Ovis aries: one gene and its partners. The protein of the gene in region 4 purifies or fractionates together with the protein of the main gene of each other region. This does not show direct contact. Links are inferred from orthologs where the notes say so. Each region holds a gene or a part of one and is shown on either strand. Other genes may lie near its edges.

Region 1 (4,462 bases), on a different chromosome or scaffold from region 4:
CAGTGGGCTGTCCATCTCCACCACAACCTCCCTTCGCTCATCTTCCTGAAATGGCACACTATCCTTGGTAAGCAACTCTATGTAGATTGCTGGGGAGGGAAAAGTATTAACTTGATGACAGCATCAGCTGCAGTTCTTTCTCAAGTCAAGCAGACAACAGTTTTCAGGGCCTGCTAGTAAGAAGCACCCACAGTGATTTTAATTGACACTCAACTCTTTCAACTCCACCTAGACAAGTAATCTATAGATAATGCAGAAAAGAGGTTGGGGGAGGGGTAACTTTTTCAATATTTTATTGTATTTTCTTAAATATCCTTTCTGGAATTTTCAGAAACAAAACATAAAAAAAATTATATACTTTATTACAAATGGTAAACTCAGAGTGCTCCAAATCTCTTATTTACAAACAAGGCTGGGCAGGACACCCAAACAAACAAACATGAATAACTTACAAAGGCATGAAGCTGTTTATTGACAGTAATCAGCTTTCATCAAATTAAAAAATATATATATGTACATACACAGTTATGGAAGGCAGGCCAGAAAGAGCTCATCTGCAGGCTGGGCCTCGCTCTCACAAACCTCCCTCCCGCCTCCCCTCCCCCACCCCCTTTGTGTTCTTAAGGAGTACTACAGAAGCGATCTACAGTCTCTATTGCAGTTTGCAACCCCCTCCCCCACCCCACCCCTTTAATACTGAATGAGATCGAATGTTAGGTCCATGCAGTTCTTGGTCAACGTTAAAGAAAAGTCTAACGTTCTGTTTGCGCGGGGACAGCCCGTCCGCAAACCCGGGCAGCCCGCGAGCGGCCGTTCCCTGGCTCCTCGCCAAGGGAGGGCGCGCCAAGTCCTTCCCACTCGTGCACACTGGGGGCGCCGTCAGGACGCAACCCAGTCCAACTTGGATACCCTTGGCTTTAGTCCTCGGACACTTTTGTTTTTTTCTCTGTTTCTCTCTCGCAACTTGTCAAGTTCTCAAATCTGTCTCTCTGTGTTATTTATATTTTTTCTCCGTTGCCCCTCAGCCCCCGACAGTCTCGCCTCAAAACGTTTGCAACTGCTGCGTTAGCATGAGTTGGCACCCGCTGTTAACGTGGTTCATGACTTTTTGTTTAAGCTGGGCCACCTGTTCCCTGAGCATATTGGCGGTGGACGCCAGCTCCGAGTTCTGCGCTTTCAAGGTTTTCACTTTTTCCTCCAGCCGCGCGATCCTCTCCAGCTTCCTTTTCCGGCACTTGGAAGCAGCGATGCGGTTCCTCATGCGCTTCCTCTCCGCCTTGATCCGCTCCTGGGACTCCATGTCGATGGGGGACAGGGGCGGCGTTTCCCCGGGCATCTCGGGCACCGTCTGCGGCTCTTCCTTCAGGGCCTGCAGCCGCGGGTGCTGCACGGGTATCTGCTGGGGCAGGTGGTGCGGCGGCTGCGGTGGTTGCTGCTGCTGCTGCTGGGGCTGCGCGGGAAAGGCCAGGCCAGCCGCGCCGTAGGAGGGCGCCCCGCCGCCGCTGCTCAGCGCGCCGGGGTTGAAGTTGCTGAGGTTGGCGTAGACCGGCGGCTCGCTGTGCAGGCTGGCGCTGAAGCCGCCGCTGCCGCTGCCGCCCGCCACCGAGGCCACCGCCGGGGCCACCAGGCCCGCCCCGCTGACCGGCTGCGCCGCCGACGTGACGCTGGGCAGCGTGTTCTGGCTGTGCAGTTCGGCCAGGGCGCGCACGAAGCCCTCGGCGAATCCCTCCTGCTCGTCCGTCACGTTCTTGGGGCACAGGAACTGGGTGGGGGTCGGCGTGGTGGTGATATGCCCGTTGCTGGACTGTATGATCAGGCGCTCCAGCTCGGGCGACGCCAGCTTGAGCAGCCCAACGTCGGGCGAGGTGAGGAGGTCGGAGTTCTTGGCCCGGAGGTGCGGCTTCAGGCTGCCCACCGGGTCGGCCAGATTCAGGGTCATGCTCTGCTTCAGAATCTTGGGGTTACTGTAGCCGTAGGCGCCGCTCTCAGACTGGAGGAACGAGGCGTTGAGGGCATCGTCGTAGAAGGTCGTTTCCATCTTTGCAGTCATAGAACAGTCCGTCACTTCGCGTGGGCTTAGTTTAAGCTGCGCGCAGAAGTTTCGGGGCCGCAACAGCGCGCTGGCAAGCGGGGGACACCCGCGCCTCCCCGGGCAGTGAGCAAGGAAAGTTTCTGGAAGAGCGCGCGCCCCCGCCGGCTGGCAGCCCCCGCCCCCGGCGCCCTCCTCACCAGCTCGGTCCGGGGGATCGCAGGGTTAAGACGCCGCCCGCGCTCTTACTTGTCCGCTCGCGCGCGCCGCCCGGCTTTGAAAAGTCGCGGTCACTCACGGAGCTCTCTCGAGCGCAGCGGTTCCTCAGAGCCCGCGGACGAACTCGCTTCCCGGTGATAGCAGGGAGCGCGGACCCCGCGTTTGCCTGCCGGCGGCGGGTGTCCGCCGCCCCGACTCGGAAGACTGTCCCCTCCTCCGCTGAGAGGGGGAGGGGGCGCCCGGCAGCCGCGGCTCGCGCTCGCCCAAGTTCAGCAACCGGTGCGAGCGAAGCGGAGCGCACGTCCTCCTCTCTCCGCCGCCTCTTTTTCTTCACCGCCGCCGCGGCAGCTTCGGGCGGAGGCAAGATTTGCAAAAGTTCGTTCCGGGACCCGGCGGCCACTTGTCTCCTGTCTTCCTGGCCGGGAAAGTTCTTGCCGCTGCAGCCGCTCTCCGGACTTCCCCGGGCGGACAGTGGCCGCTCTCCGCGCTGTCAGCAGCGCCCGCGCAGCGGGGCTCTCCGCCTGGGGGCGGCTGGCGAAGGGGCTCTCCCGGCGCTCCCCAAAACACCAGGCCGGGAGCCACAAGCGCTAGCTCCGGGCAGTTGGAGAGAAATTGGAAAATAGGATTTGCTGTCCTTCTCGACTGACTGTGCCTGTCTGCCTGCCTGCGTCCGCGCACCTCCACTCCCGCCTCGCAGCTTCAGCCACACTCAGTGCAACTCTGAGCCCTTATCCAGCCGGAGCGCAACACTTATCTGCTACCAGTCAACCCCTAAAAATAGCCCATGATGTCACCCCAAGGCCTTCCCATTGGCTCGCGTCGCTCTCAGGGGGGCGGGCCCACCCGTCGCCATGGAGACCCCACCCTAGAAGATTCTTCTCTGGGCCCGCGGAGGCTCACGGGATGAGGTAATGCTCCGTTGCCCTCCTACAGTTGGGCCCTTCTTTCTCCTCCTCCCCCCAACCCGCTCCGCGCGACTCGCGCCCCTCTCTTCCCCCTCCCTCCCCGACGCGTCTTTCCCGGCCCGCCCGGTGCATTGTGGGCTGACGTCTTGGGGTTTGACTGTCTAGTGACGGTGGCTGCCGCGAGCCGGGCGGACTCCGGCGCTCCCAGCCTCTGAGGGAAGTGGGCTGAAGTTTAGGGCTCGGATGGGAATGCCAGGGATGCTAGGACCCAGGAGGCCAGGGGAACCGAGCCAGGTGTCTGGGGCCGAGGGCGCGGGGCGGGTGGTATTTCCCCACTTGGGGGTTCGATGTCACCCGCGGGCACTTCGCCGCCGCTCGGGGCGGGCCGGGCCCGTTGAGCGCCTGGGTTCCTGGCCCCCCCGCACTTCCGGGGGGCGGGAGCACCGCCCTTAAGGTGGCTCTGTTAAGTCCCCTGTGGGGGCGAGTGAAAGTGGCTTTTAAATTTGGGGGCAGTTCGTGAGAGTCGGCCCCCCACGTTGAGAATGCCCTGAAGTTTGTCTCCTGGTCAAGTTCAGTAGCGACTGTCTGGCTCTGTCTGGAAGTCCAGTGATTTGCATTGCTTGAAACTGGGTGTTCGGCTAAGTCCCCTCCGCACTCCCACCTCACCCTCCCGACCGTGGGAGAAAGGGTGCGGGGGTTCGCATCTTTGCCTCGGAAAGGTTTCTTACAGGAGGTGGATTTAAGGGGCAACTCGGCGTCTAGTTTGAACGAGCGTTTGGAGAATCCGAAACTCGGGGAACCCCGGTGATAGTCTACTCTCCGCCCCCGCACAACATGCATAGACACACCGCACATCACATGTACACACAAACACACACACACGCACACGCCACTCCTCCCGCCCCGATTTGCTTCCGGGAAAACAAGTCCGAGAGCAGCAGACACTTGCCAAAAGTCACGCAGCGAGTGAGTAGAATAAAGATTTAAAATTTCTCCGCTCCCGGCTGGGGGGTGGGCCCATATCCTGTGTAGCCTCTAGGAAGCGCTAGACCCATGTAAGTGGTTCCTTTTCAGTGGTGGTTATTCTTCTCCTCCCCCAACCCCGCGCCCCTTAGGGACGAAAGTGTACGGTGGAAAGAATACCGAAGTCTGGAGTCGTGGGTTCTCTCCTGGCCAACGCTGCCGCAATGTGAAGGGAGCGAATCAGAGAACTTCCCTGAGTTTCTTCATCTGCAAGTGGGGCTGGTGAGACCCACCTCATAGGCCTGGCTTAGTGTAGAGTCATTGTCTCCAGGGCTAGGAGGTGGTC
Region 2 (4,020 bases), on a different chromosome or scaffold from region 4:
TATACATATAAGGGAATTAAACCTTCAATGAATATTCACTATTTTTATTTAGCCAATAGTTTATCCAATGACCATACCTTCTGTCTCTCGTATGTCTAGCACCTTCTTAATCTGAGAAAGAGGCATTAGATGAATATGCTTAAGAGAAGCTGGGGGTCGGGTATGGCCTGGAGGACTCCTAAAAGTACCAATAACCTTGTGTCGTTTTCTTGCTATCTGATTATTGGGGGGGAAAAAAAAGTTGATGTCAGTAACAAAAACAAAGACCAAATGCTTAAAAATAAAATGGCAGTAGTCACATAAATCAATATGCAGCTCATTAAGTATCAGTCATTCTAAAATTATCTGTAAGTAGCACAGTTACTCAGAGAAGGCAATGGCACCCCACTCCAGTACTCTTGCCTGGAAAATCCCATGGACGGAGGAGCCTGGTGGGCTGCAGTCCATGGGGTTGCTAAGAGCTGGACACAACTGGGCGACTTCACTTTCACTTTTCACTTTCATGCATTGGAGAAGGACATGGCAACCCACTCCAGTATTCTTAACTGGAGAATCCCAGGGATGGGGGAGCCTGGTGGGCTGCCGTCTCTGGGGTTGCACAGAGTTGAACACGACTCAAGTGACTTAGGAGGAGCAGCAGCAGCAGCATAGTTACTATGTGACCAATTCATACATGTAACTATGTAACAGAAATGTTCACATTAATATGAAAAGAGCTCAAAAGTCAGGAAAACAGGATCTATGGAAAAGATTACAGAGGTGTGAAAGAACTTAGAAGAATTGTTGTGAGAAATAATGGGATCAAAGGATGAAGGAATCTTCAATAAATGGCCTTGAATTCGGAAAGGGGAATAGTTGCTCTGGGATCACTTCCTTGGGTTCAAAAAAATAACTGACTTCAGTTTAAAAACAGAATTCACAGTTATCTTAGATCCCATGCAAGGAACTGAGGATAAAGGAGCAAATAATATAGAAATGGTTCTGGGTCTCATGACACTTACATACTATTGAGAAATATGAAAATCAAAGTAACAATACATTACAAACTGATGCAAATTATAAAGTCAATGTGCTGATATAACTTTAATTAAACTGGGAACTCACCAAAAGGAGAGACAGATAAAGTATTGCTGGAGAAGACAGGAGCAAAATCAGAAAGGATCCTGTGACTTATGATGTATATAAATTCTGAGAATTTTATAAGGTCTTTAAATTTTTCATTTCTATGAAATCATAGTATATTATTTTGTCTTTTTAAAAGAACATCTCTTTCGGGCTTATGAAAGTGAAAGTCACTCAGTCATGTCTGACTCTGTGACCCCTTGGACTATAAAAAGTCCATGGAATTCTCCAGGCCAGAATACTGGAGTGGGTAGCCTTTCCCTTCTCCAGGGAATCTTCCCAACCCAGGGATCAAACCTAGGTCTCTTGCATTGCATGTGGATTCTTGACCATTTGAGCTTATTTACTAAAAGACACTAACACAAAATAATTTAGATTAAGTTGCTTAATGAATTGAGATTGATTGGTCATATTCATCATGATGAATATGACAAAGTAAGGCTGAAATCTGTGTTGGTTAATGAGAAAAGATCAAAAGGCAGTCAGTATCACATTCACATTGATGCAGAAATATGACACAGATCTATGATACATACCAAATATTAAAAACCCATTTATATTAATGTGGCAAAAAAAAGTAATTCTTTAACTTCCACTGTAATATTTGAATGTACTTTTAATTTAGCTAAGTAAAATAAATAATTTTAAGGCTCATTTTTAAAAAGGAAAAACAATGACAAGTATTAATACTGATGAAACAAATGCTAGTCCATCAAGGTAAGAACTCAAAATACAGATACATCACCTGTCATATCTAAGTGATGTCAGTTCAGATGTTATTCATTTTAAATGTTTCTAACATTTACCATTCTCTTCATTCCAAATTTGCTCTGAGTTTTGGTGTTAAAAAAAAAAAAAAACAAGCTAAAGAATAAGAGCTTATAAATCTAAAGGTCCAAAATTTGGGCTCCAAATTGAATGTTAGAAATAGAACTGTTATAGTTAATGTGATTTTGACATGGAGACTAAGAGAGAGTAGAAAAAAAGTCAGTGAATTCAGGAAAGATGAAGGAAGTAAGAGGCCAAGCTATGAGATAACAGACTTGGAGGCTACAAGGAATGACCAATGGCACGAATTAGAGTGCAAGGTAAGTCAATGAGCCAGTTGTAGAAGACATCACAAAAACTGAAGGGGAAGTAAAATAAAAAAATTTAAAGCAAGCCACAACTCTCCAAAGATTCAAGAGGATAAAGACCTGGGTTCCATCCCTGGGTTGGGAAGATTCCCTGGAGAACAGGATGGCTACCCACTCCAGTATTCTTGCCTGGAGAATTCTATAGACGGGGAGCCCGGTGGGCTATAGTTTCATCAGCAGGGGATTGTAATTCATTATATTAAATAATCAAGTTATGTCCATCTTCAACAAAATACAGATTTCTCTGCTGGGAAAATGTACTTAATTTTAAAAAGAAGTCATAATTATTTTGTAAATCTTGAAGGAATATACATATATACAAGAAGTTCCTAAAATTCTTAATCTAGGCATTTATTTGCAAGGAAATAAACTAAATTTTCATTTTGACATGGATTTGAAGTTATGAAAAAATATCATATTTCTTAATGTTAGGTCCTCTCCTAAAAGCATTCAATTAATAGCATTAAATCAACAATTGGTCTCATCAAAAAAGTGATTAAACTTTACTTTAAACTTCTTTAATCAATTAATTTAATTAAAACTTATTGTTTCAATCAAAGCTTAGTTTTAAAGATTCAATGAAGTCAAACAGCAGTGTTATTACACTGTATTAAGGACAACTTTACCTCTAGGCAGTCATTGAAGAGGAAGAGAGTTACTTGTTCTCCTCTGTCACAGGGGAGCTCACCTAGAGAAATTGTTTCAACTCGCTGAACTAAGCTTCGGTGAGAAGATAAAAGATTAGCCTGAATAGATTGAAAATATTAATAAAAGAGATTACTTCATGGTAAATACTTTTTTAAAGTTATAATTAAAAAGAAAGTTGTGCCAAGATTCTGTTTATATTATAACTGGCAGAATCTAAATACAGCTGACCCTGAACAACACAGGTTTGAGCTGCACTAGTCTACTTACACAGGTTTTCGTTTTTAGTAAATAAGTACTACAGTATTACATGACCCATGATTGGTTGAATCCATGAATACACAAGCACAGAAACAGAGTGCCAACTATCAAGTTATATGCAGATTTTCTTTTACTCTGGCCAGGGGGTTGGTGCCCTTAACTCCCAGTAGTTCAAGGGTCAACTATAACAAAAACAAAAAGAACAAAAAGAATAAGTCGACAATCATCAAAAATGAATACTTACTGGACATCCATCGACCTCATAAACAACATCGAAAATTTGCTTTTGAGCTTCTGTTTTTCTCTTATCCTCATTAATATGGCTGAAAATTAATAAAGTTATTTTTAAAACAACAGACCATAAAAACTGTATATATACACATCTTGTGTCACACACACACACAAAAATCCCTCCATGTGAATATGTCTTAATTTTGATAACCATATCAGTTAATATATTCCCTAAAAGTATCCCACTACATTAAAAATTTCTTCATAGAATCCTTCAGAAAAGTAAGTTTTGCTTTATACTCCTTACTATATTCTCTCTCTCTCACTTTAAACTATATTCATCATACACTTCCTAAAATACATTACACTGGTATAAACTGCAAGTTCAGAAGTTTTAAGTTCAGGTAAGGTTTTATGCAAATCATTCCCAAATTATATGCTAATCATTTCACTGAAATAAAAATTAAGACTATTGCTTCCAGACAAGATGGAATAAGAGGAAAAATACATACTTTGCCCGAAATAACTAAAAAAAAAACCCAGCAAAGTATAAAGAAAGAGGTTTTTCAAGTCACTGTCTCAAACAATGCAAGCCTAATTATATCTCATCTACAAAAGATACATT
Region 3 (4,814 bases), on a different chromosome or scaffold from region 4:
TACTGGAGGCTGAGGAGAAAATCTGCATGCCTTATTTCAAAATGAACAAAAAATTATTTACATATAAATTACAGCATAAAGTACCTCCATGACTATCTCCCACTGTATACATCACATCATTTATTCCTTCATTAAAAAGATTTAAGAGTTAACATTTTTTCCAAGCGATTCTCTCCAGTAACAACTGCAACTTACATATGATTGCGTTGCTAAGAAATCCTAACCAGCACCTATCCTGAGGTTTCACAACACAATGGCGTGTAACTTCATTTTTAATTTGCAAATCAGGAGGCTTAATCAAATAGCGTGGCTGTAATAATCAGCAATGGATGAAATGAATCTGAGAACAAAAAGAAATACAAGGACGGAGCCAAAAGTGATGAAAATGGAAGATACCTGTAGTAGCACACTGCTATCTGAAACACCTTTTGTTTTCTGAGAGTAATCCTCACTGCAGACAAGACGTTTTGTGCTAAACATCCCCAAATCTGTTTTTCTAATATTAAACACAAAGGAAAAACACTGACAGCAGGCACGGTAAATAAATCCCTCCCTTGAGAATGAAAGCAGCAGACAGGAGCGGGCTGACATACATGCAGGAGGAAAACTAAACCCCATCTTTTTTCTACCTGCACAAGTTGCCATTTGCTGCAGCGATCCAACAGCTCTCTTTCCTGTTGATTTCAAGTACCTTTCAGGATCGCTTTTTCCCCTTAAGTCATCTGTTGATATGCCTGATGGGTGTAATAGTCACATCCCAGGATCTTTAGAAGAAAAATCCATCCTTTCCTGCTCAGGTAAACATGTTTACAGCAGCTGCACAGACGCTGGGTGGTTCAGACTCACATGTCACACACATGTCGTCAGCAACAAGAAAAGCCCCTTTCTCTGGCGATGAACATTTTAAATAAGGTAAAACGCGAACAGCCCTTTCCAGACCAACTTACCTTTCATAAAGCCACATCAGCAACAGCAGCAACAGCTCAATATAGCACACACACTGTTTGACGCTAAAACAGGAAATTAAAATTGCAATAGCCTGTGCTCCGCTCCTGGCCGTAACAAGTCATCTCTCCACAACGAGGACGCCAAATATTAGTTATCGATCATCACTTATCAGACGTCTTTAAAATGCAAATGTGTATTTGGATAACTAAGACCGTTCACGAAAGCGGCGGTTTCAATGTCGGCTAGAATAAATTAAAATTACGTTTACATCTTGAAACCGCCTAAAAACCTCCGTATCTGCTTCTAGACAGGAAATCCCACACAAAATCTAAAATTGCCAGGAAAGGTTACAAAACCTCGCGTTTCGCATCCCGCAGGGGAGGGAGAAAGGGAGCCCGGGCCTGGGGGTGGGGCGAGCGCCGGAGAGTTTTGACTTAAACCCGTATTTCCTCATTTTCTGGAGGATACGGAGATCCCGTTCCAGGCGCATTTATTTCCCTACTCTCAGAAACTCGTTTTAAAAATAACGCAGGAACCCATACGAGCCCCTCGGTCCGCTAGATCCGTGCAATTCCTTATATAGACTCGGCCGCAGCCAGCGGCAGGGCCGTAGCCGCCCATTATTCTCCAAACAGGTACCGGGCGGGCGGGGGCCGCGCTCCGGCCTCGGCCCTGTCGCCGCAGGAACTGTCCAGACAATACCCACCAGCAGACGGTCGCCGCGGAGCGGGCGGGCGGGCGGGCGCAGCATCGCCCCCCAGATAGCAGAAATGCAACCAACTTCCACCGTCTCTCCCCACCGCAAAGGGCGACTGTGCAACCCAACACATGTTCGGGGCTCGCTCGCTCGCTCTCCGGTTATTATTGTTATTTTTCTAAACTCTCACGCCAGGCAGATGGGGGGTGTGTGTGTGTGCGCGCGCCCCTCCCCGCGCAGCATCAGCACTCATTAGTAAACCCGGCGGCCGCCGCCGCCGCCGGGCGGGCAGCGGCGACCCGCGTCCGTCGGTCCGGCCGCCCCCCTCCCCCACACTCCTTCCACCCGAGACCCCGAGCGCCGTCCAAGCTCCCTCCGCCGGTTTCACGCCCCGCGCGTCCGGCCCAGGTAACAACTTCCCCAAACCGAAAGAGAACAAGGGAGGCGCACGCTCGGCAGCCCATCCCCGCGCAGAGGAGGCGTCCTCCCGGGCGGGGGGACCTGTCTGCGGTTCCTCCCGGTCCCGAGACCAGGTAACAACTCTGCCAACCCGCCGCCGCCGCCGCCCCCCCTACACACCCCACGGCTCCCACGGCCGCGGCTCCGCGCCCGCCCCGCCCGCCGGCTCCCCGCGGGACGCGGACCGCGCTCGGGGCGCTTAAGGGACCGGCACCCCACCCCGAGGACCGTGAAGCCCCGTCCCGCGCCGAGCGCGCCTCGCCGGCCGCTCCCAACTTTACCGCCACCGGCCTGGCCCGTCCGCCCGCCGCGCGCTCCGCGCACACGCGCGCACGGACGACACGCAGCCCGCGGCCGCCGCGTCCCGCCGCCGCGCGCCCGCAGCCCGGCCCGCCCGCCTGGCCAAGCCGCGGGGCCCGAGCCACCGCGCCGGCGGGGCCGCGGCGCGCGGAAGCCACTCTGCACGGGCAAGCGCCGGGCACAAGTTAGTTCCTCGGCTCCGGGGCCTCGGCGCCGCGGGGACGAACCGCCGAGGAAGCCGAGGAGGCGGGGAGGGGGGCGCCGAGGGGGCACAAGAGTGGGGAAAAAGTGCGGAAAGAAGCAACAGCCGCTCCCCCCCGAGCCCAGAAAAGTGGGCGCCGCGTCCCGGCCGCCCGCCCGCCCGCGCCGGGGATGCGGCGGCGGCAGCGGCGGCTAACGGTCCAGCGAGGCGGCAGGGGCGGCGGGAGCCGCTAGGCGGAGAGACCAGGTAAGAGACATAACGGTTCAGGGAGAGCGGGCGGCCGCGGCGCGGCTCCGGCGGCGGCGGCCCGGAGGGGGGCAGAGAGCACTACTTTCTACTTTCCCACTCCACTTGGCCCGTCCCTGCCCGGCCGCCCCCAGCCCAGCTCGCCCCCCTCGCCCTCGGGGGCGCACCGGCCGCCCGGCTCCCCCTGACTCCGCCGCTCCCCGGTCCCCTCCGCCACTCACCGTTATTGCGCCGCGGGTTCGCCTGCTTTCTGCGCTTACACCTGGGGCCATCCGCCATGATCCTCTCGCTTGTGTCTAAATGCTCGAGTCACCTCCTCCCCCTCCCTCCCTCCCCCTTTCCCCCCCCCCGCCCCTCCGCCTCCACCCCTCCCCCCTCCCCACCGCACCTGGTTTACGACACTCGCGGCTTTACGACATCACCTTCCTTACACCTAGAGCCACTCGCTCTACGGCCGGAACCTTGTTGCTAGGGAGAGGACGGTTTGCGGCAGACGGGGGAGCAGCTGAGTTTGCATGGAGGGGCGAGGAAAAAGTTTCCTCCAGGTGTCGCGGGCGGGGGTGGCGGGGTGGGGGCGCGGGGGAACCATGTGGACGTGGTCCGAAGGGCGACTGGCCGTCGGAGCCGAGAAAGGTAAAATAGGAGCCCTGAACTGGCCACACCCGCTGCGGCCGCCAGGGGCACGTTCGGGTCTAGCTGATTCTCGCCGTTATCCCGTGCCCTCGGAGCCGCCCCCGGAGTGGCGGGATCGACCTGTCTTCCTTCGGCCTTACGGGGGGCGGGGTGGAGGGGGTGGCGGTTCACGCAACCCCGGCCGCCCGGGGATGCCTCGCAATCGAGGGGCGGGCAGGCGGGTCTGGCGGGCGGCTGGTTCGGGACACGCGGCGCCCCGAGACTCCCTGCCCCTCCTCGGACGCACGGTTCCCTCCCCCCGCCCCCGAGCAAACCGGGGGTGGGAAGTGACTTCAACGAGGTAGAAGTTCAGCTGGACCGAAAGAGGGGCGAGAAGTTCCGCTTGCGAGCCACCTCGGCGGTGAAGCGGAATGAGTAATCCCCACGCCGGCCTGTCTCACTTCCTTCTGCGCGATGGGCGCTCACCTGCTGTCACCTCGGCCGCCCCCGCCCCCAGGCCGCGCCCTCCTCCCTGCGGCCACGTCCGCCCTGCGGCCCCCCGCCCCCAAGTACATCGGCCAGATCCGAGGCCCCCAGACTTAAGAGTTAAGGTGTTAACAGGCCACAATTTAGTATCTGGGAGAGCAGCGGTCGCTGTGCAGAAACTTATGGCGTGAAACGAGGGCTGGCAGGTGTGGTCTTGGCAGGTGATGGATGGCGATCTTATCTCGAACTGTGTACAAGTTCAGGGATTTCTGAAAGACCACGTAGATACCAGCACAAATACCAAGAAGGTCACGTCTTGAGTATTCAGTAGAGACTTTGCTCTCCCCTCCTCCCCGTCTTCAAACGAGGAAATATCTTTGGGACCAACTTGAGGGAATACAGCTGAGCTGCGTTTCGAATAATAAAGAGTTATAAATGAACATTGTAAGAGATGATAAAGAAGTTGAGAAGACTGAAACGTCACAAAGTATTAGAAGTCACAGTTAACCTACCACAGTGCTGTCAAAGTAGGTCCTCAACAAATTTATGCCTATGATTTTTGCCATGCCGACGGCAGGACTTTTTTATTATGTTAATTTTTTGAACACCGTCCAGGCTTTTGGAAGATTCATTAATAATCTCTCCAAACCTTTCATCTGAAATAAATTTACAGCTGAAGTCTAGTAATTTAAAATTAGAAAGTTTAATCCTGAATATAGATGAAAATTTTCTCTCCCACGTTTGCTTTGGCATTTTGATAAGTGGATGTGTTATTTATTGGTGCATGAAAGGGGACTGTAACTGTTCTTTGCTGTGCATTATGTCTGTGTGTCTGGTCTCTTCCTCAGTACCAAAGCTAGAATC
Region 4 (4,020 bases):
ATAATAGGGTGACTACTGCTCCACAAGATTGCAGTGAGGAGTAAGTGACTTAATATGCAAAGTTCTTGGCTCTTAGTAGGTGAGAGTTTTCTCTACTTAAATGGCTTCTGATATAAAGTATATACCAGTCTACTCTCCACTTTTGCCTAATATCACCAACATGTTATACTACCCCACAGAAAGCTTGTCAGAAGTTCTCTGCTCTATGTTTAAACAGAAAAAAACTAAGCTTAGACATTTTCTTTTTAGTTACAAATTATCCTATAATCTTCTTGAATAGTTTCTATTAAAGCAGCAGTTTAGCTGCCTATTGGCTGGTGTGAGGGTCTAATTCTCTCGTTAAGGGTTTGATATTCTCTTCTCTGCCCCTTCCCTCACTTTTATGGCACAAGTGATGCAACTGAATTAGCCCCTCTATCTTCCTCCCCCTTACTTGCTCACTAGAGGGAGAAAAAAATGTAGTATCGGGGCATGGGTTAAAGAAATATTCTTGAGAATAATAGGAAATTCAGTTGTATTCAAGCATTTTTATACACATGCACACCCTTTTTGTTAGAGCTGATCTACATATAATGCTTATGATTGTTATTCTTACTAAAACAATCATTTTGAGTCCCAAAATTCTCTTACATGAGTACTTACACAATATCAAGCTATTCATCTGAACTTACTAGAATGTGAAACATTAGCAACAGGCTCAAATTAAGATTAAAATAGATTTTTAATGTTTCCCATGTATATGTAAATTAGCTGATGCTAACGCCTACCGCATTAAAAACACATCCCACTGAAAAGTTCCGTTGAACTGTTTCCCTTTGTTATTCTGTTTTGAAAACCCTCTATTCCCATTGAAATTTCAGATTAATCAATCTTCATGAACAAGAATATGTCACCTTTAAAAACCAAAGTTTGGCTCTTTACTACTCTTAATGAAAAACAGATCACTGGAGTATGCTCTACATACCCACAACCCATGGAAAAATATATAGAAATGGTTCTCTAAAAATCATTACCAACTTACTTGGAATTAGTGCTACTGGTCTTACTTTCAGGGAAGATCCGATAACAATGAGAAGATCAACTTCATCTTTGTCATACTTCATGGCTCTATGAAACTGTTCTGGTAAATTTTCACCAAAAAAGACAATCTCTGGTTTCATGATAGCAAGCGGTTCATCAGCTGGGCATCTAGGACATCGAGGAACCACCTATGTGTTCCAGATTTTGGTTGAGGAGGGAAAGAGAATGCAAGTCCCAGTTAGAACTGTCAACATTTCCACACTTAGCAAGAAATCATTTCAAATTTATCAAAGAAAACAGAAAAACTGGATAAATAGAGAAAACTGGATAAAACCTAAACATCAACTATAAATGACACCCCCACTTATTTCACTAACATACAATGAAATATAATTGTGCTATTATCTGCTGCTAATATCTGTATAGACCCACATTTGACATTAAAGAGAATTAAGAGGAAAAAGCAACATGTGTATACATGTACATGAGTCTTAACCTTTAAAAGTTTGGGACTGCCTGGACGTCAGGTGGTAAAGAATCCACCTGCCAATGCAGAGGACGTGGGTTTGATTCCTGGTCCAGGAAGATCACATGCTGTGGGGCACCTAAGCACACGCACCACAACTACTGCACCTGCCACACAGAGCCGCCCAAGAAGAAAGAAGAGAACCTACCACAGTGAAGAGCCTGCACGCCACAACAAAAAGCAGCCCCACTCGCTGCAACTAGAGGACGTCTGCACGCAGCCAAAATCAAACTTTAAAAAGTAGGAAGTTTGTAAAATACAATTCCATTCTAATATGCTATCTTCTCATAATTATATGATTTTATATACAGCTATGCACATTGAGTTTTATTTCTGGATAGTTTTTATGCTCTGCCATCTTAAAATTTTTTTGGCAATAAGCATACATGAAATATTTTGTAATGTTTAGGAAGCCAATTTCATCATTCAAAAGAGATTATGGGGACTTCTTTGATGGTCCAGTGGCTAAGACTCTGCCCTTCCACCGCAGGGGCCCAGGTTCCGCCTCTGTCCAGGGAACTAAATCCCACATGCTGCAACAAAGATCCTGCACAAAGATCCACAACTAAGACCCAGCGCAGTCAAATAAATACTTTTTAAAAAAGAGCGCAGTTTTCAACTTCAGGTAATGAAAGGTTTTTGGGTACTTCGCTGTAATCCCCCATAGTCATGGATGTTTCTGTACCACATAAATACTTTCAGGGGGCAAAAAAAAGGATTGAGGCAAAAGAAACAGATCAGAGACAAGCACAAATCCTAAGATACGGGTGATAAATTACCTGATTAAAAATATCTCCTCGTACAGCTTCACAGTCAACTTTATATTTACAAATCAGGCAAGATGCTGTTGCAAAGGAACCTAAAAACAACCAACAAATACACGCTTTATTAAAGAAATTTTTCTATTTCTTAAATAAGTTATAATTAAATCTGATACTAGAAAAGCTAGTCTCCAAAGGAGACTTTGGAAATTTTAAGAGGTTCCACAAAAAAGGTATTGATATAATGACCCTTCCTAAAGCTACTCTTTTAATAAGATAATACTAACTCCTCCAGGACTACAACTGCAGATTTGGAAGGTTACGATTATATTAGCTTAACAGTTTTGTTTCAGAAACAGTTTAGATACAATAAAAGTCTATTCAAACTTGTTTTAAAGTCTTCAAATTTCTGAATTCTGTACATCTGACCTAATCAGCAGTTCCTTTGATTGCCTCAGGATGCCATGTTTTTTTCATCCATAGCTAATACCACTTTTGTAATAAAAAAAACATTATTTAAAAGAATGTAACAGGCTTCCCTCATGGCTCAGTGGGTCAAGAATCCACCTGCAATGCAGGAAATGTGGGTCTGATCTCTAGGTTAGGAAGATCCTCTGGAGGAGGAGATGACAACCCACTCCAGTATTCTTGCCTGAAAAATCCCATGGACAGAGGAGCCTGGTGGGCTACAATCCACGGGGTTGCAAAGGGTCACACATGACGAAGCACAGTATTTGAAACTTAAGTGTACACAACTGCTACATCTTTTGAAATCCAAATTAACATCTGACATTGGATACAATTAAGAGCTGAGGCCAGTATTTCAGGTTTTGTATTTTTGCAGTCTACTTTCCTTATCTACACCTGATCAGGTAACATGATTAAATAATAAGGCTTAATCTCCATTCCTAAATGGCAGCCTACTTACTAATCCTAATTTTTCCTACAAAACTAATATAATGGGAAAAGCAATTCTGAAGTTTACTAACCATGGCACTGAATTATCTTTTGGATTCCTGCAACCTGCTCCAGTGTATCTATGTTCTGAGTATAGTTGCGAAGTAGTTTTCCTTCCTTATCGGACAAGGCTATGAATTTGTGACAAAGAGATGGTTGGAATTGTCCAGGATATATTTCCTAGATAATGCAAAAAGCAGAACAAACATTTAAGTGTTAACAAATGTCACAGGTTTAGGTTTAACAACAACAAAAAAACTACCAATGATAATTAGAAAATAATACATGACAATCTTAAAGCATCTAGATGGATGCAACACACACAAAAGGATTGTTGCTATAATACAAATAAAACTCAGCAATTAATAAACACAGCCTCTCAAAAAGGATAAAATCGACCTGCAAACATCTCTTATGAATGATGCTATTTCAATAAAAGTCAGAAGAAATACATACCTTAATATAGGTCTAATTTTTGTTGGCTGCAAATTCAGATTTTTTTTTTTGTAAAGGAAAAGGGAAAAGTTTATATTGAAATAAAAAATACTAGAGATATGGTGACTTCTTTTTTAAAACTAAAAAAGGCACTGTCAACATAATATTTAAAGTTTTTGATTCACCATTCATTATAAATATCAACCTGTTGGAAGTTGAAAGCTAAAGGTTTAATTCCTTACCAAAACTGTTTTCCTTCCACTGCACAGGCACATACTGGTATAGTATAGAGCTGCTCATGAATGCTGAGTTGCTGGATTT
Region 5 (4,020 bases), on a different chromosome or scaffold from region 4:
TTTTAGTGTTGTAGCAGGTGATACACAAGTCATAATCCTGGGGAAAACAGGAGCAGGTCAACACTCCAAGATTCAAGCCATTCAAAAGCACTTACATATCCTGCTTGGGCTGAAAAGCCCCATTTTAGAGAAAGCTTCTTTAGCCCAACCATTCAAATCTGACACCAGGCCCCACCTGGCCTCTTCTGGTCCTCACACTGGCCCCGGAGGCTGCCCTCAGGCCAGCACCACCTCTGAACTGCCTCTCAGGTACCTGGAATCCCCCAGCCCTCCCCGCCAAGGGACCCACCTCACACACGGTGCAATGCCAGCGAGTCTCCACGTGGTGCTTGCACTCGTTGCAGGTGTAGACAAAGCGGTCCTGGCTCTGGGTGTGCAGCTCCACCAGCATGCACATGGTGGACCACTGGGCTCTTCGCAGTGATGAGAACTCCAGGTGCTTGTCCCTTGCGAGGGTGAGAAAGGCATCCCGCCCATCCATCAGGTCACAGGGGATGAGGGGGTCGGGGTCAACAATGGGAGGCAGGGAGTTGGCGGCAGGGCCAGCGATGAGACGGATCACAAAGAAGACCTGCAACACAGACAGTCCCCTCTGGACTCTGGAACTGAGCACTGCAGGCAGCTGGCCAGGCTCTGCACCCGGGGGCCGGGAGGCCTGGCTTCCTTCTGTGGCCACCCTGCAAGGCTCCACGACACAGCCCGCGTTCTCCTGCTTCATGCATTTGTTCTCTTTTTTGAAACTGACTACAGTGGGCCTAAAACATCTGCATCTTATCTCATTCAGTAATTCTTCAAAAGAAGAATGGTCAAACACAGGGCCATACAGGGGACATTCTACTTCAAAGAGGTCAACTTTTAAGATGCAATCCATGGTTTAACCTGACTCTAATTATAAGGAAATAAATCAGAAAAACCCAAACGGATAGATATTCTACAAAGCAATTGGCCTGGAGTCTTCACAAAATGCCTATGTCATTAAAGAAAATAAAGCCAGGAACTGAGACATGGCAACTCAACATGCAGCAGAGGAGCAGATGGGAGGTGGTGACAGGGGAGAGGTTTCCTGAGTGTGAAGTCACAGCACGCTTATGCAGAGCGTGTCCTCTGTCTTAGAAGGAGCTTACTGAAATAAAATGTAGTAGAACGTTAACTGATGAATCTAGCTGAAAGCAACAGGAGGGCATCTTCTGTACTTTCCTGTAAGTTTGGAAGGAAAAAAAATTGGTAGGGGTGGGAAGAATAAAAAAGCAAAATCTTTTTCCTTGCTACAGAAACAAAAAATTTTTGTTTAAAAACACAACACAACCACTGATTCCCATAACCACTGGTTTAAAGGCTGCAAGAGGAAGCTGCTATTTCTGTAATAATAAAATGTAAAAGGGAACCTTCAAGAGATCAAGAACTTGTAACTGCTGTATTGCCCACTATAACCTGTCCATTTTTTTGAGGCTGAAAATCTATGCAAACTGGCAATAATATTTGTTATATATCTGGGCAGCAATGTTGGCATAGTACAAGAGTCTAGAAAAAGAACACAGTGACTTTCTTGGTGGTCCAGTGGTTAACACTGCTCTGCCACTGCAAGGGCATGGGTTCGGCCCCGGGTGGGGGTGGGAGACGGGACATGGGACTAAGATTGCACACGCCACGAACAACACAGGACAAGAGCATCCACACTGAGTAAAGACATTCAAAGCCAGAGTTAAAAGCTCAAGGGGGGACTGTGATACTGGGTTTGCTACTGTGGCTCAAAGCAAGCACTCACAGAGTGAGGAGGAGTGTCCTGAAAATGTGATCACACACAGGGAAGTACTGTATCTAACAAGTGGGGGCAGATCAAACCACCTGGTGACTCCCTATGGCCAACCTCTAATAACAGCCATCGTGACTGACTGCTGAATGTCACCCTAGAGCTAAAACAATACCTAAATTTAATAAAATGATTACATTAGATTCTAACTCCTAACAGGAGACTACTACCCACATATTCTTCAGATGATGTATCTACAACTGAAGTCATACCTATTACAACATACTCTAAGGGCCTTTCCTAATCGCTGTTATGACAGAGTTCCACACCTAAAATCAAACCATCAGTTCCCTCTCCACATTAATAGCCTCTTCCTGTAAGAACCTGATGTCTGAACATGGAGATAAACAGATGTTTAAACAAACCAACATGACCCTTCAAAAGGCCTCATCTTACCAACAATAATGTTGAAGGGGAAAAAACCCCCAACATACTCAGTTCTATTCCCAAACAACAAATATCCAATAATGAAATAATTCCAAGTTTTAACTTTGCTGTGAAGGCATTCATGAATGCATATATCAAAGTTTAACTTTTCTTCAGTCCTCTCCATTTGCCAATTCCCTTTCAGTATGGCAAAACATTCATTAGTTTCGCCAAAGTTCCATTAGAAACTTGAATGGCCAAATAGAGTTCTAAGGGGCTTTGGTATAAAGCAAAAGCACAAAGATACCCAAAAGATATCCAACAAGCCCATCTTCTGAACAATGGACAGAAACACAAACATAAAACGGTTACAAACAATAGGGTCAGACAAACTGCTTACACTTCTCCCAACACCATATAGCTTTGTAACAGCTACAGATCTAAGTAAGATACCTTACCATTTCATGTTCTCACTACCCTCTTTTTGCTTTCTTCTCCCTCAAATGATTTTCTTTTTTTTTTTCCTAAGGGAAAGTGAAGTCGCTCAGTCGTGTCCAACTCTTTGCGACCCCATGGACTGTAGTCTACCAGGCTCCTCCGTCCATGGGATTTTCCAGGCAAAGGTACTGGAGGGGGTTGCCATTTCCTTCTCCAGTATGATTTTCTTCCTTCTGAGTTTCAAATGATCTGGTGCTCACATCATAAATACCAACTATGGTGGGCAGTTCTGGAGGACCCTGGCCTTGGTTTTCCTACTCTGGGGGCTGTTCTCTTACCTCTTTGTGCTTCTCCATGGTGGCATACAACTTCTGTGAGAGGTCGTTGGATACGTTGGGCATGCCTGGCTTCTTCTTATTGCCCCGACTCAGGCTGCTCTTGTTTTTGCTAGTTTTTTTGTTGTTTTTCTTTTTAGCGTTTTTGCTGTCACCCTTTGTCACCTGCAGGTTAGCATGAGAGAACAAGAAATGTTAGTAACTCTTTGCTAAGAGACTGTTTACAAGTTTAGAACAGTTATTTGTTAGTAACTGTTAAGAACAAGTTTCTGATGGAGCAATAGATCATAACCTTCTAACAGCTGCTCTCTCTTCATTGCTCCTCTTTCTTTTTAAAGCTGTAAACTAAGGTTTACTAATGTTTTTGCATTAATTTTCTCCCACTGAAAAATCTCTCTGCTGATCTCTCTTCATTAGACAACAGCAGCCTTAGGTCTCTGGCCAGCGGAAGCTGCGGACCAGGAGACACCTCAGGTGGAGCCAGCCCAAACCAAATCTGAGGATGGAGAGGAGTGAGCAGCAGGTAGTGAAGTGTGCATGGGAGTAGGGAGCCAAAGGCCCTGGTTCTATTTCCTTCGACTCACTTTCCAAAATTTCATGGACTATTTAAAAAAAACAAAAAACACCTTGAAAAACATTCAATCAAGGAGTCTAAACTGCAGGCTATAAAGAATTCTTAGACTAAGGGTGATTTCAGTAGTTCAGACTCAGCAAGGGCAACCGACATATACTGCAGGGAAATAAATGACAAGGAAACCTTGTCATCTGACCTTGTCAGATGACCTGCTATAAGGCAGCTTCTGTAGGGGGGACTGGTAAACTCTGGCCCAGATTTGTTTTTTGTACGGCTAAGAATGATGGTTTTTACACTTAAACAGTTGTTTAAAGAAGAAAAAAAGAACGTGCTGGAGACAATATATGGCCCGCAAGGCCTGAAACATACATAATTCAGACTTTTGCAGAAACAGTTTATCAACGTCATGCTCTAGACAGGTAATGTTCTGTTCTCCAGGGTTTCCATTACTAGAAATCCAGGATTCCATTTAAAAATGAGGTCTGGTGCAAAAAGGG
Region 6 (4,548 bases), on a different chromosome or scaffold from region 4:
AGCACTCAGGATGTGCCAGAGAGTAGTCCAAATTTTCTTAGATGTATTAACTCATTTAAGTATTCCACCAACCATGTTAGTAGGTAGTTATATTTTCCTGTTATACAGTTGAGGAATTAAGACTTAAGAGGTAAGTGATTTGGCCAAGATCACATAGCTGTAGGATTCTGACTTGTCTAGAGCCAGCACTTTTACTGAATCTGGTTTCCTTTAAATTTCTTGTCAATTTTTTGTTATTGTTCCCTGCCCCTTCATCTGGTACCTTCATCGATGCCGACCCTTGCCTCGGCTTCCAGGGACTTCAGGAGCCCTCACTGCTGATTTGGGTTAAATTTTTAAAAAGGAAGCAAAGTAAGCAAGCACACAGAATATCCACTGTGTGAGAATTCAGATTGTGTTCTGGCCTTCGTCTCTACTTAAGGAAGAGGCCCCCGTGTCAGCAGCCCCAGCCGGCATCTCAGACTAAATGGGGAGTCTTTGGTTCTGTGTACCAATGCCTTCGCCTCCGTATCCTCGCCCCTTTCCTCTCTCTCTGGTATGGAGAGAACTTTGCGTCTCCTCAGCGTCTCTCTCCTACGTCCTGCCCACGTAGAGAAGCCCTCGCTTAATTCTGGGAGGTTACACGGGCCCGTGCCTACACATACAGAAAAACAAACAGCCTTAAGTACTCACAGAGAGGCACTAGATACAAACGGACCCGCACGGGCACCTCCCCAGACAAAACCACACTCGGATAGTTACGCACCGACACACAAGCACCCGCATACCCAGAAACACTCGGATGCTCGCGACGCGCACAGCTCCAGACACGCTGAAGAGCATCACGACGCGGGGGTCTGCGCATACACGCCACATGCAGTCCCTCCGGGTGCTCAGACTCGGAGGCGCGCCACCCTCGCCCCGGACCCACGCGACTCCCCGGCGGCTCTGGCTTCAGCCCACCCAGGCCGCCCCTCCCTCCGCGGGGGAGGCCTCCCTTCCTCCGTCCTCTCTCCGCTCCTCCTCCTCCGCCTAAAGATGCACGAAACACTCCTCGGAATAAACCCCGGCTCCTGGCTCCGCCCCGCCCGCCCCCCGGCAGCCGCTCCCCCATTCATTTTCGCCCGTCGCCGTAAGTCCCGCCCCCCGCGTAGCCCGGCCCCCGCTGCTCCCCGCCCGGAGACCGCGGCGCACTTGGACTTCCCTCTCCATTCGCTAGCCGCCTCGCGCCCGGGCCCCACGGCTGCGAACTGATCTGGCGCGGGGAGGGAGGGAGGAGGCACGCGCAGGCGAGCGAGCGGGCGAGAGAGGGAGCGAGCGAGCGAGCCACCGCCGGGGAGCCGGGAGGCAGAGGCAGTAGTGACCGCCTTCCGGAGCCGGGGTTCATGCCTGTCCTCGGGACCAGCGAAGGGGTCTTGACGGCTGAGTATGAGCCGGGCTGCTAGGAGCCAGGTACCCCCGCGCCTGCAGTCCCCGCGCCGTTCCCGGTATGCGAGCTGGACGCAGGGCTCTCCCAAGTTCCCTCCGAGCCGAATAAAAAGCGTCCGCCCGCAGCTCTCCGCCAAAGACGGACATTGACTCCAGGTAAGGCAGCGCCGGGCGCCGCGCCGGCAGCCCCGCTGCCCTTGGAGACCGCCCGGGACCGCATGCGGGGCGCCCCCGCCCGCCCGGCCCCTCCCCCTCCCTGCACCCTTCCGCGCTGCCCTCGGCCGCCCCGCCGCCTGCAAGTCCTCGCAGGTCCCCAGGAGGGAGGGGTGTCTCCGTATTCTGGGGCGCAGAGGGTTAAATGCGGGTCTCAGTAAGTGGCGTGTGTGTTCCTAGCGCGCTCCCGACGTGTGTACCATGGTGAGAACTTGATATGGTGCTAGTGTGTGTTTGCGTGTGCGGCGTCGTTTGCGTTCGATGCGTGTGTTTGTGATGTGTGTTTGTGTGTGTGTGTGTGTGTGTGTGTAGGGGAGGGGTGAAAAGAGGTCCTATAACCTACTTAAGGCCCGATGTGTGTGTGTGCATGTTTGTACGTGTGTGTTTGTATGTGCGCTCTTGTCTCTTTTTAATTAGGTCTCTCCGGCGCACAGGGAATCGGATCCTTGTTTTAGGATCACGTAGCCATCGGGAAACCCGCTGTGGACTCCCTCTGGGGCTCTGGGCTTGGGATTTGGCGAGGATTCTGGGAACCGGGATGGTACCTTATTCAGCCCAGTGCTGGCACCCTTGAAGGAAGATTTCTCCAAAGGATGGAGATCTGCTGCACTTGGACTCACGGTTTAATATGAAAGAGAAATGGCCAAACTGAGGCAATGAGACGCTGTCACTTTAAATCCCACACTGGGCAGATTCCAGGATTCTGGTGGGAATTTGGAGTCACTGGGTAGTGGGTGACGGAAGGAGAGAAGTCATCTGTGGGCTCATCTGGGGCTTGGCAAGTCCGGGTAGAGTCTACCCTGCCTCTCTCTGCTTGTAATCATAACAGCATTACAACCCCTCCTGCTTCTGGTGCTCTGGGGAGGATCTGGGCAAGTTTGCATGGATCCCCCTCAAGGGAGAGGAGAAAGGGCCCTCAGGGACTTGCTCATCCATCATAGCTACAGAGAATCACAGAGGAAATCTCATTTGGGGGCAGCTCTGGGAAACATGGTAGGAGATGGATGGGGCACTTTCCTAAGACAGATCCCTCATTCCCTTCCCCAGTCCAGGCCTGGGCAGTCCCAAGAGAATCTTTTCCTATACTGTGCCTCCGCATGGCTCTCCTGGGCTTAGGAGGGTACTGGGAGAAGGCAGAGAGGCAGTGTGTGTGTGTGTGTGTGTGTGTGTGTGTGTGTGTGTGTGTGTGTGTGTGTTCGCGCGTGCGCGCATCTGTGTGTGTCTGTGTTTCAGTACTGAGGGAGACCTACAATTTGGGAACTGGTTGTGGGTGGGGAACTTATGGTGGAATGTGGCGGTAATTGACTTAAAACTGCTGCTGATGTGCACCTCGCATCTCTTGCTCGGCTCCAACAAACTGCCAAGGGCACACGGGGGTGGGAAGAATCTCAGTAACGAAGACAGTCCCTCTTTCCTCTTTCCTCCGCCTCCTAGGAGGCGGCCCCGCTAAGTCCCTTGGCCTCCCTGGCCAGGTCCTGTTAGGCTTGGACTCCGGGGCCAGCCATTGATTTGATTCCCGGATGCCTCTTAAAGGCTTGCCCTACTCAGCAAAAAATGCTGAGTTTCACGGCTGTTAGCATGGCTTCCAGACTCCGGCAGCTGTTACTTTCCCAAGGTAAGAGGCAGCATTCAGCTCTTAGGCAGTGAGGCTCCAGAGGGCAAGCGCTGAGGTACTGGGCCTCAGCAGGAAGGGGCCCCTGTATAGGCCTTCTAGGGGGGAATGTAGAAATATACTTGTCTTAAATACTTGCACGTATTTATTTCTCTTCCGGGGAGAGATAAAAGCAAACGTGTTTGCAGGAACCTGCCCTGGCGGGTGGGGGGCGGTGCTACCTGCAGGCACTCACAGACACTCTCTTCTCTGGTCAGAGGCTGATGTCTCAGGCGGAAGCCTTCACACGGCCACAAGGAATCTGCTTTGGGAACCTTAGGTCAGAGCAGAGGTCCCCGGTTCACTTTGCCTGGGGTGTGTGAAGGCAAAAGATTCCCCATGTTAGGAATTGCTCTCATCTTATTTTTTTAAAAATACGTAGACAGTCAAAGCTGGAAGGAATATTAAGGAGCAGACAGCAGGAGTCTGTAGCCAGAGAGGACGTGAGAACTCCCCAACCGTCTCTAGTGAGTTGGTGGGATGCCCAGGTCTAGAGCCTGTGGTGCCTGACACCCAGGTCCATGTCTTTTCCTCTCATATCGCTCTCCACCCCTGCCCTGCCACCGCGCTCCCATCCAAGATAATCACTCGTCTTCCCTCATCAAACTTCTCCTTTCAGAGATGCATTTCAGAGCTGTTCCATCTGGAAACATGACCTGGAGAGAAAAGGTCCAATGCTTTAATCACAGTCCCCATTAGACAGACAGATAGACACACACACACACACACACACACACATGCAGAGAACATACATTCTTTCTCCAGTGCCTTCAGAGGCGCTTCAGGGACCGGTACTGACCGTGCCTAGTAGACAGAAGCCAGCAGGCATCTGGACTGTACCTGAGCTCTTTATTAAGAAATGCTTTGCTTTCCAGAGAGCCAAGTGTCCACCCATCTAGCAATGCAAATACTTCAGGCAAATTCGTTTCTTTACATTAATGAGACTTACCTCTATACAGTCATATGTATGGCCGTCATAGGAGCACACACATACATGTCGTCACCTAGACACGTGCAGATTCAGAAATCCTTTCTACTTGCTATATTTCCCAGAAGACAATTGCAACCTCCACACCAAATTGCATTCCCCTATGTGAAAGCATCACCCCCACGAAGACTGGGACTTATAGTCCCAGGGAAGGGGAAGTGTAAAGTCCTGTGAAAGATGTGCTCTTAAGAAGTCAGGATCAGGCCCACACAAAAGTGAGCTCCCGGACTCCTTGGTGCTTGGGTTCAGGGTGCAGGTGAGCATGGAGGGAGAAAACAGGGGTTTCGGG
Region 7 (4,020 bases), on a different chromosome or scaffold from region 4:
TGAAACTTTTCCAATCCAAGGACCAATTTTTGAAAAATCACCATCTCTACCTATGTTTAAGAGAATACGGCTGTGTCACACCAACCCTGTAGAATACCTAGTTTCACACATTTTACAGGTTTCACACTTATATCACTCAAAGCTTTGCTAACTATTAATTAATGACTGGCATGGAACCTCAATTCAATCCTCAAATATTAATATATGCTTTACTTCTATTTAGTAATATAGAAGACAACTTTATTTGTTCATCTGATGCAAAGGAAGCATTCAGTATGAAAGATACACATTTATAAATTTTGTTTGTAATTTAAAATATTTTACCTCCTTTAGAGTCATTCCTTCCATTTCCATTTGATGTTGTTAGTTCTTTATTACTGGTGGTCATATTGTCTATATCATTTTCTTCTACAGGCATATGATCTGGCTATTAAAGGAGAAAAATTAGTTTCTCAAATCAAGCCCTGTATAAGGCTTCACAGCAATATATGACTGTACATTCAGCTTAAAGAGGGGGTAAATGTATCATCCATATCGTTTACCTCATCATCCCTCATTGGAGAGCCAGCTGAGGATAGTCGGTTATTACAGAGTCGGCCATCTTGCACTGTACTGATGTCCAAGCTCATTTTGGGATTATAAGTATGCGGATAAAGAGATTCAGGAAGATGTTTATACTCCTGGGCACACTGTAATGCAATGGTGTGCTTTAAAACAGGACTAAAAAAAATTTTAGTGACTTAAAGATGTTAAGTAGGAAAAAGACAGCCCAAACATTATGTTATAAGATGGCAAAAGTTCACAAAATTAAAGTTTTGAAAAGCAGTTGACTTTAAAATTCCATCATACAAGTAACAATTTGTCCTCACTTTTAAATGTCCTGCCCACTAAAGTATAAAATCTAATTCTATTTCTATGCTTTTGCCAAAGTATTAATCACATTTCGGGGAATACCCAGAAGGAAAATGGAAGAAGAAGAAAGAAAAGAAACTGTATTGGCATGCTAAATTAATTCTCCTCAAAGCATTACAAAGTTTTCTTTCATATCATTTTTAACTAGCAAGAAGAATCAGACAATCTGAAAGAATACCCGTTAAAGATTTACTAAGCATTTAAGGATTAAAGACCTTAAGTTTCTGATGCCAAAGAAAGGAAATGTGCAATTAAATAAGGTTACCAAACTTGTTTATGTACAGAGAAATGGATTTGTGCCTTGAAGTACTGTTTATGTTTTCATTTAACAGAAAGGGGAGGGGAAAAAAGTATGCTTACTTCTAAAAGCCAGTGCTCTGAAACAATGTGTACTCCTCTTTCTTTTACAGATTTATACTCCCGATTAGTGTCATTTGGTCGCCCTTGATAGATGAAATGAGTCACTGTCTCATCAAAACTCCACCTACAACAATCAAACCCACAAGATCCTGAATACCTGAGAAAGATAACTACATTAGTTTATCATTACTCTCTATAAACAGAATATGCAAAACCTTTCAGGAACCAGAGTAAGCAAAAACACTAAATGACAGACTCCACTTTCACTGTTAAATTTTATATGCATATCTTTTAATATATAAATGCAGAGAGAGATGCAGAAACATATTCTTTAAATTATCTTCTATAATAACACTTCATACAGGTGATATAATGATAAAGATATTTTCAAGTTAAGTATCCAACCTATCCTCCAGCAGCTGGCAGCCACTAGTCACTGTACATTTGCTCTGTGCCCCATAATATTGTGTACTCTACAAAGCATTATTGATCCATTCCTCACAACAATTCTAAAATACCGTATTATTTTATCCATTTAACAGATAAGAACACTGAAGGATGTGACTAAAGTAACACACTCAGTGAATAAGAGGTAGAGCCAATTTTGACTTCAAAAAGCACACTCTTAGCTATTACACTGTGTTCCCGATTTCTTCCCATTTTATATTTCCTTAACCTAGTTTGCTAAATGTGAATAACTCGTGGTAGTCATATTACCAACAGAAATGCTGTTTATGGTATCTGAGTCTCCATATCTATTTCAGCCTATGCAAAAATGTATGTATGCAAAAATACTCCATTCCCCTCTGTGTTATCAGACAAAGGTATTTACATATTTAATGTATATTCTATTACTACGCACCTTCCACTGAGTTTAAATTATAAAAGATTTATGAAATCCATTTTAGTAGAAGGAATGTTGTATAAGTATCTGTAATAAAAAGGGAGTGCTATATCTGACGTGCCAGGAAGAGCTGGTCTAGATTTTAACTTTCCGCAGGTGGGAGACAGTAGCACTGATCTCTTTGGTGCGTATGGAAGGGAACATCTGGAACATCAGCACTTGAGAGCCGATTACCCTATGAACACACACATACTGTAACCTCTGCATAATAAGAGTTCTTTCCTCTCCTTAATTATCAAGTCTCAGAAATTCACTTCAGGAATACACCTAATGCAAATTCCAAATTAATGCCATTGACTATTAAATTCTGTTTAGGGATTTCAGCAATGTATTTTTTTTAATATATTGAGAAGACGGGGGCATTTATTTATTTTGGTTGTCTGGTGTGGCTTGTGGGATCTTAGTTCCCTGACCAGGGATAGAACCTGGGCCCCCAGCAGTGGAAGTGCAGAATCCTAACCTCTGGACCCACCAGGAATTCCCAGGACTGGCATTTTAAATCTTATAAAAACACAAGTCCTATATGTGTCTTTTAAATCTTACATAAGTCCACATTTAAACAGAATACCCACGGACGCATTCTATTTTTAGGGCTCTTAGGGCTACTGTGAGAATGGTATGAGATAATACTTGCCTCATATTGAGCACTCAGCAACCAGGTAAGAACAATACATAGACAATACAAGTAACAGTAAGTAAGAAAGCTTTACTCTTCTACAATAGGTGAATGAAACACTAAGGTGCCTATAATTACACAAATATATTTTATTTTTCCATTCTCCTGCTTTAATTTCTCTATCAAAAAGAAAGATAACTGAAATGACTTACCAAAAGGGAAAGATAAAGCTAATCATATCCCTCAAACTGTTTGTTAACTGTAAACCAATCATTATGCTAACTATGAAGTGCTGAAAACAAGTGGTCAAGAAAGCGAGTACCGCAGACAATGAAGGAATATGATAACTTAGCACTGGCCGGAAGAGGCAAGGGTCTCTCAATCCCTGATACTGATGCCATTTGTGCTAGGGACCTGTCTCTAGCTGGCTGTCAGGTTGAGAGTGGTTATCTATGCCTCCAAAGTAAAAAAGATAGGCATTAAACATCCTCCAAAAGACCATTTTAATTCAGGAGTGCTGCAGCACTTAGTAGCACTCACAGAAGGGCTTTAATTTGAAAGTCACTAAGAAACATGCTTAAAATCTCCGACCTAAATGTATTAATAAACTCCTTGAAGACAAGGATTTTTTTTTTTCTAGACTGTACTCATTCATGGATCCCAAATTTTTAGAATAGTGTCACAAAGTATGTTCTCATATATTTGTTAAATATGCCCTAAAAACACACATGTAAGAGCGAATTGATATGGGACAGGGTATTTTAAAAGGAGGAGGTAAATTAAATAAAAACTGGATTTTGTAGATACTATGATAAACTATTAATAAAAGGCAAAATAATGCTTTTTAAAAAAAAACAGATGCTCACAACAGTTCTAGGTTTCCCTATAAATTGAGTTCATATCACCACCAAAAAAAAGATGTGCCAACTACCTGTAGTCTGCACCTAGAGAGGCTGCAATCCCGTTTAGTTCACTCTGCTTCTTACTGAGTTTCTTACTAACACACACCACTACCTTCTGAAGTGGCTTTGGAGCGTCTTCCTGCCCATGGAAAATAAAAGAAACAGATCAATTATTATTATTTTAAATGTTTCTTTTTTTAATCTAAAACTTCCTTTTAATATTAATAAGAGATATAATTCCACCTTTTCTGACTGGGCATCCTTCAGTTGAGGGCTGGCAGAAAGAGCAACAGCATTTCGAGAGCTATTTGCCAAAGCAACTTTCA

The links.
Region 1: the proteins of SIRT1 (region 4) and JUN purify together in Homo sapiens (affinity purification with mass spectrometry; 4 studies listed by BioGRID and IntAct, with this or other methods). This does not show direct contact. The link is inferred for Ovis aries from reciprocal best matches to the Homo sapiens genes SIRT1 and JUN.
Region 2: the proteins of SIRT1 (region 4) and ECT2 purify together in Homo sapiens (affinity purification with mass spectrometry; 3 studies listed by BioGRID). This does not show direct contact. The link is inferred for Ovis aries from reciprocal best matches to the Homo sapiens genes SIRT1 and ECT2.
Region 3: the proteins of SIRT1 (region 4) and ZEB1 purify together in Homo sapiens (affinity purification with western blotting; 4 studies listed by BioGRID, with this or other methods). This does not show direct contact. The link is inferred for Ovis aries from reciprocal best matches to the Homo sapiens genes SIRT1 and ZEB1.
Region 5: the proteins of SIRT1 (region 4) and EP300 purify together in Homo sapiens (affinity purification with western blotting; 3 studies listed by BioGRID and IntAct, with this or other methods). This does not show direct contact. The link is inferred for Ovis aries from reciprocal best matches to the Homo sapiens genes SIRT1 and EP300.
Region 6: the proteins of SIRT1 (region 4) and BRINP1 purify together in Homo sapiens (affinity purification with western blotting; 6 studies listed by BioGRID and IntAct, with this or other methods). This does not show direct contact. The link is inferred for Ovis aries from reciprocal best matches to the Homo sapiens genes SIRT1 and BRINP1.
Region 7: the proteins of SIRT1 (region 4) and TOPBP1 purify together in Homo sapiens (affinity purification with western blotting; 3 studies listed by BioGRID, with this or other methods). This does not show direct contact. The link is inferred for Ovis aries from reciprocal best matches to the Homo sapiens genes SIRT1 and TOPBP1.

The regions. Positions count from the first base shown.
Region 1 is NC_056054.1:33,493,694-33,498,155, forward strand, and holds JUN (transcription factor Jun), read right to left. Parts: upstream 2,971-4,462; 5' UTR 2,051-2,970; coding exon 1,043-2,050; 3' UTR 277-1,042; downstream 1-276. UniProt on the Homo sapiens protein: Transcription factor that recognizes and binds to the AP-1 consensus motif 5'-TGA[GC]TCA-3'.
Region 2 is NC_056054.1:215,421,066-215,425,085, forward strand, and holds part of ECT2 (protein ECT2), read right to left. Parts: intron 3,488-4,020; coding exon 3,409-3,487; intron 3,005-3,408; coding exon 2,885-3,004; intron 217-2,884; coding exon 78-216; intron 1-77. UniProt on the Homo sapiens protein: Guanine nucleotide exchange factor (GEF) that catalyzes the exchange of GDP for GTP. Promotes guanine nucleotide exchange on the Rho family members of small GTPases, like RHOA, RHOC, RAC1 and CDC42.
Region 3 is NC_056066.1:33,350,508-33,355,321, forward strand, and holds the start of ZEB1 (zinc finger E-box-binding homeobox 1), read right to left. Parts: upstream 3,151-4,814; 5' UTR 3,132-3,150; coding exon 3,074-3,131; intron 1,272-3,073; exon of another isoform or gene 955-1,271; coding exon of another isoform or gene 948-954; exon of another isoform or gene 646-947; coding exon of another isoform or gene 630-645; exon of another isoform or gene 1-629. UniProt on the Homo sapiens protein: Acts as a transcriptional repressor. Inhibits interleukin-2 (IL-2) gene expression. Enhances or represses the promoter activity of the ATP1A1 gene depending on the quantity of cDNA and on the cell type.
Region 4 is NC_056078.1:23,651,356-23,655,375, reverse strand, and holds part of SIRT1 (NAD-dependent protein deacetylase sirtuin-1), read right to left. Parts: exon of another isoform or gene 3,975-4,020; coding exon of another isoform or gene 3,942-3,974; intron 3,445-3,941; coding exon 3,297-3,444; intron 2,406-3,296; coding exon 2,326-2,405; intron 1,209-2,325; coding exon 1,022-1,208; intron 1-1,021. UniProt on the Homo sapiens protein: NAD-dependent protein deacetylase that links transcriptional regulation directly to intracellular energetics and participates in the coordination of several separated cellular functions such as cell cycle, response to DNA damage, metabolism, apoptosis and autophagy.
Region 5 is NC_056056.1:218,165,608-218,169,627, reverse strand, and holds part of EP300 (histone acetyltransferase p300), read right to left. Parts: intron 3,115-4,020; coding exon 2,953-3,114; intron 572-2,952; coding exon 290-571; intron 38-289; coding exon 1-37. UniProt on the Homo sapiens protein: Functions as a histone acetyltransferase and regulates transcription via chromatin remodeling. Acetylates all four core histones in nucleosomes. Histone acetylation gives an epigenetic tag for transcriptional activation.
Region 6 is NC_056055.1:4,122,816-4,127,363, forward strand, and holds the start of BRINP1 (BMP/retinoic acid-inducible neural-specific protein 1), read left to right. Parts: upstream 1-1,285; 5' UTR 1,286-1,563; intron 1,564-4,548. UniProt on the Homo sapiens protein: Plays a role in neurogenesis and brain development. May suppress cell cycle progression in postmitotic neurons by inhibiting G1/S transition.
Region 7 is NC_056054.1:256,421,079-256,425,098, reverse strand, and holds part of TOPBP1 (DNA topoisomerase 2-binding protein 1), read right to left. Parts: coding exon 3,938-4,020; intron 3,834-3,937; coding exon 3,724-3,833; intron 1,397-3,723; coding exon 1,273-1,396; intron 690-1,272; coding exon 543-689; intron 428-542; coding exon 325-427; intron 1-324. UniProt on the Homo sapiens protein: Scaffold protein that acts as a key protein-protein adapter in DNA replication and DNA repair. Composed of multiple BRCT domains, which specifically recognize and bind phosphorylated proteins, bringing proteins together into functional combinations.